Xenopus tropicalis: one gene and its partner. The protein of the gene in region 2 interacts with the protein of the main gene of each other region in a pairwise test. Links are inferred from orthologs where the notes say so. Each region holds a gene or a part of one and is shown on either strand. Other genes may lie near its edges.

Region 1 (4,697 bases), on a different chromosome or scaffold from region 2:
GGTGATATCTAGGAAGTGCTGAATGGAAAGTAAAAGTCATTGTAATTGAAAAAATCTGAGCTGTCAATCATATATTGCCTGCCCCGCCTCTATGCCGAAGGCATAGATATATAGGCAATATATGATTGACAGCTCAGATTTTTAAATACATTTATAACAAGTATGGATGATTTCATTAAAAAAAAGAATTTGGGTTTCATGTTTCAGTTGCCTGGTTGCTAGGGTGCAAAGTACCCTAGCAACCAGGCTTTGATTCGAACGAGAGAAGGGAATATGAATAGGAGAGGGGCTGAATAGATAGGTAATTGATATAAAGTAACAGTAACAATAAAACGGGTCAGTTCTCCTGTTGCTAGGGCTCAAATTACCTTAGCAACCAGGGAGTGGATTGAATGAGAGACTGGTATATGAATAGGGGAGGGGCTGAATAGAAAGATAAGGAATAAAAAGTAACAATAAAACTGGAGCCTCACAGAGCAATAGGGTTTGGCTGCCGGGGTCAGTTATACTGTTGCTAGGGCTCAAATTACCTTAGCAACCAGGGAGTGATTTGAATGAGAGGCTGGCATATGAATAGGGGAGGGGCTGAATAGAAAGATAAGGAATAAAAAGTAACAATAACAATAAACTGGAGCCTCACAGAGCAATAGGGTTTGGCTGCCAGGGTCAGTTATACTGTTGCTAGGGCTCAAATTACCTTAGCAACCAGGGAGTGATTTGAATGAGAGGCGGGTATATGAATAGGGGAGGGGCTGAATAGAGAGATAAGGAATAAAAAGTAACAATAACAATAAAACTGGAGCCTCACAGAGCAATAGGGTTTGGCTGCCGGGGTCAGTTATACTGTTGCTAGGGCTCAAATTACCTTAGCAACCAGGGAGTGATTTGAATGAGAGGCGGGTATATAAATAGGGGAGGGGCTGAATAGAAAGATAAGGAATAAAAAGTAACAATAAAACTGGAGCCTCAAAGAGCAATAGGGTTTGGCTGCCGGGGTCAGTTATACTGTTGCTAGGGCTCAAATTACCTTAGCAACCAGGGAGTGATTTGAATGAGAGGCGGGTATATAAATAGGGGAGGGGCTGAATAGAAAGATAAGGAATAAAAAGTAACAATAACAATAAAACTGGAGCCTCACAGAGCAATAGGGTTTGGCTGCCGGGGTCAGTGACCCCCATTTGAAAGCTGCAAAGAGGCAGAAGAAGAATTTATTTAAAAACTATAAAGAAATAAATGGGAAACAGGATTGGGAGATTTAGTCCAAGACACTAAGTGCTAAGACTTTACTTTCCCTTTAATCTCTTTACCAAGATAGGGAATGAGCTGGGAACCCCAAGATGAACCCCATTTGACTTGTTATTCTCTAGTGTAGTTATATATGTTTATTTAACCTGCATCTGGGCAGAGAAACCCCAGAAATGGTGGCTGACCAATAACAGGCGCACTAGGGAGTAGTCACATGACAACAGGAGGCTAACGTCAGCTCCCCGGGCTTTGGCTGAGCATTCTGGGATCTGTAGTTTAGAGACTTCCGGACACCCCATTAGCCAATCGCATTACGCAGCCCCCCCGCACGGGCTATAAAGAAGCGGCGATATATCTGACACACACACTTTCCCAGGAGGCCTCAGCTGTCACAATGTGTTGACGTCACTTACTACGGCCCGACTATGACGCGGCTTATGCGCCCCACCAACCAGGCGCTTCCAGTCATGCTTTTCCCTCTCTCAACATGGCGCCGCCAGGACTTCCCGGGCGGAAGTGGCGTCGGAACGCATAGACTTCCGCTGCGCGGAGAAGGTGCGCAGTGCGAGAGAGAAGCGTGATGGCGTCTAATGCAGCGAAGCAGGTGGCGGCCGAGCAGGTACTGGGCATGGTGGGCATAATGGCTGCTGGGGGGTCTGCCCGGCCGGTACCCCCCCCCCCCAACCGGCCGTTTAAAGGGCAACTAAGCCCAAAGCCCTTTTTTCATTATGGCCATTCATTCCCTTATATAGACACATGTGCTATTATAAGCTCAGTGGGAACAGGCTTCCTTGGGCATTTACTCAGATTCATTCCCTATTGGGATCCCTGATAGCCTTCCCACAGCAGCCCAGGAGCAGCCGGCTCTTCTGCTTCCTAGAAACTGTTGCTAGCCAGCTTGGTAGCAGTGTTGCTATGGTACTGAGCTGTTAGTGATATCCCATAATCCCTCAGTTGGAAGGGGGTTCAACAATGGGACTGGGGCACCTTAGTGTTTTATTATTACAGAGAAAAGGGAATCATTTAACCATTAAATAAACCCAATAGGGCTGTTCTGCCCCAATAAGGGGTAATTATATCTTAGTTGGGATCAAGTACAGGTACTGTTTTATTATTACAGAGAAAAGGGAATCATTTAACCATTAAATAAACCCAATAGGGCTGTTCTGCCCCAATAAGGGGTAATTATATCTTAGTTGGGATCAAGTACAGGTACTGTTTTATTATTACAGAGAAAAGGGAATCATTTAACCATGAAATAAACCCAATAGGGCTGTTCTGCCCCCAATAAGGGGTAATTATATCTTAGTTGGGATCAAGTACAGGTACTGTTTTATTATTACAGAGAAAAGGGAATCATTTAACCATTAAATAAACCCAATAGGGCTGTTCTGCCCCAATAAGGGGTAATTATATCTTAGTTGGGATCAAGTACAGGTACTGTTTTATTATTACAGAGAAAAGGGAATCATTTAACCATGAAATAAACCCAATAGGGCTGTTCTGCCCCAATAAGGGGTAATTATATCTTAGTTGGGATCAAGTACAGGTACTGTTTTATTATTACAGAGAAAAGGGAATCATTTAACCATTAAATAAACCCAATAGGGCTGTTCTGCCCCCAATAAGGGGTAATTATATCTTAGTTGGGATCAAGTACAGGTACTGTTTTATTATTACAGAGAAAAGGGAATCATTTAACCATTAAATAAACCCAATAGGGCTGTTCTGCCCCCAATAAGGGGTAATTATATCTAAGTTGGGATCAAGTACAGGTACTGTTTTATTATTACAGAGAAAAGGGAATTGTTTAACCATTAAATAAACCCAATAGGGCTGTTCTGCCCCAATAAGGGGTAATTATATCTTAGTTGGGATCAAGTACAGGTACTGTTTTATTATTACAGAGAAAAGGGAATCATTTAACCATGAAATAAACCCAATAGGGCTGTTCTGCCCCCAATAAGGGGTAATTATATCTTAGTTGGGATCAAGTACAGGTACTGTTTTATTATTACAGAGAAAAGGGAAATAACTTTTTAACGTGATTAAAAAAGAAGTCTATGGAACATTATGGATAAAGGGTTTCTGGATATTGGACCCCATAGGCCCCTGTAAGAAGATGAGCCAATGCTGGGCTGATCTGTTTGCCCACATTGTTTAAGAGTTGCCATTAAAGGGAAAGTTAAGCCAAATACCCTTGTTTAATATGTACGTTCTGTGTTTGTTGCTACAGGTGGTGGCTGGATTTAATCGCCTGCGCCAGGAGCAGCGAGGTCTCGCGTCCAAGGCAGCGGAACTGGAGATGGAGCTTAACGAACACACGTGAGTCTCATTAGCAAACAGGTCGTTCAGCAATGAAGAATCCTTCAATGTGATTCTCCCCGAGGGTCGTTATTCCTCTCTGTTGCACGCTACATTTGTTCTGTAGTCGGAACCAGTGCAGATCTCCCTAACTAACTGACAGTCGTCTCCCTCGCTCCGCAGGTTGGTTATCGACACCCTGAAGGAAGTGGAGCAGGGCAGGAAGTGTTTCCGGATGGTCGGGGGGGTACTGGTGGAACGCACCGTGAAGGAAGTGCTTCCGGCTTTGGAGAATAATAAAGAGCAGGTAAGGCTCTGCCTTGTGGGCACCTAATTAAAGGGCATATTAACCTTTATTGGGGGCAGAACAGCCCTATTGGGTTTATTTAATGGTTAAATGATTCCCTTTTCTCTGTAATAATAAAACAGTACCTGTACTTGATCCCAACTAAGATATAATTACCCCTTATTGGGGCAGAACAGTCCTATTGGGTTTATTTAATGGTTAAATGATTCCCTTTTCTCTGTAATAATAAAACAGTACCTGTACTTGATCCCAACTAAGATATAATTACCCCTTATTGGGGGCAGAACAGCCCTATTGGGTTTATTTCATGGTTAAATGATTCCCTTTTCTCTGTAATAATAAAACAGTACCTGTACTTGATCCCAACTAAGATATAATTACCCCTTATTGGGGCAGAACAGCCCTATTGGGTTTAATGGTTAAATGATTCCCTTTTCTCTGTAATAATAAAACAGTACCTGTACTTGATCCCAACTAAGATATAATTACCCCTTATTGGGGCAGAACAGCCCTATTGGGTTTATTTCATGGTTAAATGATTCCCTTTTCTCTGTAATAATAAAACAGTACCTGTACTTGATCCCAACTAAGATATAATTACCCCTTATTGGGGCAGAACAGCCCTATTGGGTTTATTTCATGGTTAAATGATTCCCTTTTCTCTGTAATAATAAAACAGTACCTGTACTTGATCCCAACTAAGATATAATTACCCCTTATTGGGGGCAGAACAGCCCTATTGGGTTTATTTAATGGTTAAATGATTCCCTTTTCTCTGTAATAATAAAACAGTACCTGTACTTGATCCCAACTAAGATATAATTACCCCTTATTGGGGCAG
Region 2 (4,568 bases):
TGGCTGAGGGGGAATTCTGTTTGTAGATGTAGCTGCAGCAAAGTACTTTATTTCCCATTGAGAGGGGTGTGAGTCTAGCAGGTGAAATGCTATCATGGTGCCTGTGGGGAGACCAAAGAATATCTCTGGCAGAAGTACTGGTGAAGAGAGCAGTATTATTAATAACATTTATTTATTAAGTGCCAACATATTCTACATATTCTACAATCAGTATTTTGAAGCATGTCAACTCTGAAAAGGAGATGCAAAAAGAAATGCAATGCTGCCCCCATGTGGAAGGCAGTTTAGAACATGTCCTATGAACTTTCACTGCAATAGATGCCTTTTAAGAAGAGGATTTAACACAAATTAATATGCTATGCAACATTCCAGTAACCCACAGATACTTCTAGGGTCATACCGAAGCCCATCAATAAAGCTAAGAAAGGTAACCTTAGACTGGCAGAAATACTTGTATTAAAAGCAGTCAAATCAATCCCGTAATGTTGGACAGCAACACAACCCCCATCAAAGCAATTACGAGAACATAAGCTTCTACATACTGTGCAACTTCAGTGGGTCTTAGCTCTTCAAGATTAATAATCAAGAGGATCACTGTTCTATAGCGTTTGGAACAAATACCTAGACACATTTGTCAATGGGAAAACAACACAAACAATTAGCCCCATTCGGGTTTACTAAATGTTGGGTGGAAAACTCTCTTTTGGAATAACTAAATCCACCAACTAACCAAACAAATTCTGCTCCCTCCTCCTCACTTGCCTAAAGACCAAAAAGGCATTACTTTGTATTTATTTTTATGTATTTTTTAAGAAATGCAACACTGTCTGGGACTGATGACACTACAACAGCAAGTCAAGTTAAAGTATTTTTTTTGTGACTACATTTTGCATTGTCCTGATGACTTGCTTTTGCCTGTAGAACTTTAATGTGTACTATTTTCATGTATGAGCATTCATATTATGGCTAATCTTTCTTTGTACACAAGAATGTGTGATACATGACTGCAAAATGTAAATTTTTAGTGAATTTCAAAATTTCTTAAAAAACAGTGCTTAACCTACTGCATAGATTCTTAAAATATTATATTGTTATGGGGGGGTCTCTCTTCTTCCGTTTCCTACTGTTTGTTTCCTACTCTATATGTTCCTCTATTCTTTCTTCTCTATTGATTGTTGAAATACCATGTTACTGGTAGAAATGAGGTAGTTTAATGTAACAATAGCATTTTGTGTACTTTTGCACTTATTCCTCTCTTTGCAAAATAAGAAAAAGAAAATCTAAAAAAAATATATATATATTTCTGCGATTTGACTTATTTATAAATATCATGTTAGCAAGCGGACCATCTGCCAAGTACACGGTCCCTTACATGTTAGTACGCATGCGTCGCAGCCTCCGGACTATCATAGAGCGCTAGCCGTGCGTACAGAGCGCCAAACAATATACGGTTTCCCAGCTAGACAGTCACTATAGTAATGTAGTAGGAAGGCGGGGTTCTTCCTCTCTCAAGATGGCGCAGACAGTGAACATTACCGACTTGTCTCTGCCGCAGTTGGAGGGATTGAAAAGTCAGTTGGACCAGGTATCTTAGTTAATCTTACATTGCCGTCTTAAATTGGGGATGCCTCTGTGTTGGTTTTTCCCCACGACTAAACGTAGTGTCCCACAACTGGCTTGGATGAGTTCTGGCCACCCCGTGGCTGTGGATCCCTTACTCCCAGAGTCCCACTGCAGCTTTTGCTGTCCCGCCCCAGCCTGGTGTTGCTCATACTCCGGGGTTACAGGGTTAGTAAGGCCTTCCTTATGTGCCTTTTCCTTTCATAGGAAGTGGAGTTCCTGTCCTCCTCCATCGCTCAGCTAAAGGTGGTTCAGACCAAGTATGTGGAGGCAAAGGAGTGCCTGAGTGTGCTGAACAAAAGCAATGAAGGTGAGTGACAGCGGCAGCCAGTTAGTAGGGTGTGTCAGTCGGCTTAGTTCCTCTCTCTAATAACCTGTATGTGTTTATCTGACAGGGAAGCAACTGCTTGTTCCCCTGACCAGCTCTGTATCCTTTTCATCACTATATTATGAAAAAGCCATATGGTGGCAAAACCAGTGAGCTGCTTCCAGTTTTAAAGTATGTTCTCTTCTATTTGTTTATTATATTATTAATGTAAGGAACGTTGTAAGTCTGTAGCAAGCTAAGTGTCAAAAATCTACTAAACAGTAATGCATTTTTATCCAAAGTTTAAACACTAAATGGCTAAACTGCTTAGGTGACTGCTTAAAAGAGTGTGATGATGGTTGTTATAGTGTAGGAAAAACATGTCAAGAATAGCAGCACGGTGTGTTTTTCCTGGGTACTTGGACAAAAATGTACTGTATACAGTCAGTCAGGCTATACAAAATATAGACCAATTGAAAAGTTGCTAATATTATAGGCCATTGTACAATGTACCAAAAGTTATCTTAAAGGTGAACTCCCCTTTTAATGAGCAAAAAAAAATAGAAAACCAGTATTTGCACAACAGTGTTTAAAGAAGAACAGTAGGTGTGTGGGTTTTTTCCCCCTTAACCTTTCATGTAGATGTATGTGCCTGGGACTCTTAATGATGTGTCAAATATACTGATCGATGTGGGTACTGGATATTATGTGGAAAAGGTGAGCTACTTTTTTGTTTGTTTTTTAGCTTAAGGTGTGACTGTGATGAGCAACCTACTGTTAACATTTTCTTGCGCAAAAGTTTGTTAGTATATTTCTAACTATACATAACACATTATTGCTACTCTTCAAACCATCTGGTGTGACAAACAGATTTAATTTTTATTGGTTGAATTAAAAGCAACTGGTTTATTTTTATTTTTTAAAATTTAGCGTGTTCTGGAACATGCACAGGTTATTCTCGCAGTTAAGATTGGCAGAACTTGTGCAAGTTTTGCCCAAGAGACCATTGGCTAGACCAGTAGGAAAGCGAAAAGCAGCAATAGGGAAATTTGACTACTTGTGTAAAGCTGCTGTACATATGCATAAGCCCTGTATAGGTAAATAATAATCCACACTTGCTTACTTAGTTGCCCTTTAATATCATACCACAATACATTCACAACAATGTAGCCATATCACTTCTAGAGGTAATTTGGTGCTGATATCACTCAGAGAAATTTACCTCTAGAAGTGATGGCACTTATTATAACTGAAAAAATAACTTGAAGCACTTATATTTATTATATATTATATATATTAGTGAACCTGGGCCTATGTGCTTTTACCCCAGAAAAAGTATTTTTTTGTTAAACTGTCTGCTTGCAAAGTGGGAGACTTAGGCAGCTGCAGTTCTCTGCAAGGAATTTGTTAGGCCTACAGCAGAGGATGTTAAGCTAAGCAATTTAACAGCAGTGTGCTTTGTAACCACTATATATATATATATATATATATTATATAATATATACATATTTTGGTTTCAGAGTACCAAGATAAGATGTTATTTTATTTTTAAAGGTGGCCATACATGTAGCAATTCCGATCTTTCCTGCGACCATGAGTTGCAGGAAAGATCGTTCGTTTCCCCCACTGACATTCAGAGTCATCGGATGTGAAGGTAGAAACAATAGGAATTCTACCTCCACCTGCCGGTTCAGCCCTGAACGCAGGTTTTGTTCGGGCGCCTTCAATGGCGCCCAGTCAAAATCTTTTAACCCGGCTGAGCGATGAGACAACCGATATCCGCAGCCTTTGCAATAACGGTCATCTTGTCGATCTGCCATACACGCACCAAATATCATACAAAACGAGGTTTTGTACAGTATCATCAGTGCGTGTATGGCCATCTTTACTCAGTCAAAATATAATGAATGCAGTGCACTTTAAGCTGACAGGATCTGTAGGTATCTGTTTCTGATAAATGTATCACTGGGCACTTGTAGTGTAAGTTTTTAATATAAGGAGATTCATGAATTCGGAAAGATATATGGTATGATTAAAGCTTAGTTAATTTTGAAGGCATATTGTGATTATTTGCCTTTACAGGGCACATATACCCACTGGTATAACTTAGGGCTGAACTTCACATGAGATTTTGTAGAATGGTGTTGGTTTGACAGATCGCATCCTGTCGAATGTAGTTGCATGGTTAAAAAATAATGGGACTGATAGAAAAATCTGATGTGTAAACTATATGAAAGCTTTGCCATCAGATGCAATGTGCCTTTTGGTAGTCGACTTTGCCTGCTGTGTCTTCATACAACCAGACAAAATCTCATAGTGTCTGAAAGAGATTTTTTCTCATTAAAATACATGTCTGATATAGACACGGAAACAGGATCATACAAAACATTGTGCTTGTTGCGTGACAAGATTTTGTGGGTCACACAAAATCTGACCCAAAAATTCTCATCAAAATCTCCTGTGTAGTTTAGCCCTTAAAAGGGCACTTCATCCAAAAATATTTTTTTACACAGTAAAGGAAATTATTATTCTAAGCAACTTTACAATATACATTCTTGAAGAATTTATTGGTTTTAAGTGTTTGTAGTCATAATTGCAGTTGAAAGCAGCATTTGCCTGGCTGTTTACTTTTTCTGCACTC

Evidence for each region. The genes of interacting proteins can lie anywhere in the genome.
Region 1: the proteins of pfdn5 (region 2) and pfdn2 interact in binary tests that used the Homo sapiens proteins (3 or more experiments, as listed by UniProt). The link is inferred for Xenopus tropicalis from reciprocal best matches to the Homo sapiens genes PFDN5 and PFDN2.

The regions. Positions count from the first base shown.
Region 1 is NC_030684.2:143,080,071-143,084,767, reverse strand, and holds the start of pfdn2 (prefoldin subunit 2), read left to right. Parts: upstream 1-1,822; 5' UTR 1,823-1,825; coding exon 1,826-1,864; intron 1,865-3,481; coding exon 3,482-3,570; intron 3,571-3,732; coding exon 3,733-3,856; intron 3,857-4,697. UniProt on the Homo sapiens protein: Binds specifically to cytosolic chaperonin (c-CPN) and transfers target proteins to it. Binds to nascent polypeptide chain and promotes folding in an environment in which there are many competing pathways for nonnative proteins.
Region 2 is NC_030678.2:147,137,527-147,142,094, reverse strand, and holds the start of pfdn5 (prefoldin subunit 5), read left to right. Parts: upstream 1-1,492; 5' UTR 1,493-1,513; coding exon 1,514-1,585; intron 1,586-1,827; coding exon 1,828-1,930; intron 1,931-2,015; coding exon 2,016-2,047; intron 2,048-2,569; coding exon 2,570-2,644; intron 2,645-4,568. UniProt on the Homo sapiens protein: Binds specifically to cytosolic chaperonin (c-CPN) and transfers target proteins to it. Binds to nascent polypeptide chain and promotes folding in an environment in which there are many competing pathways for nonnative proteins.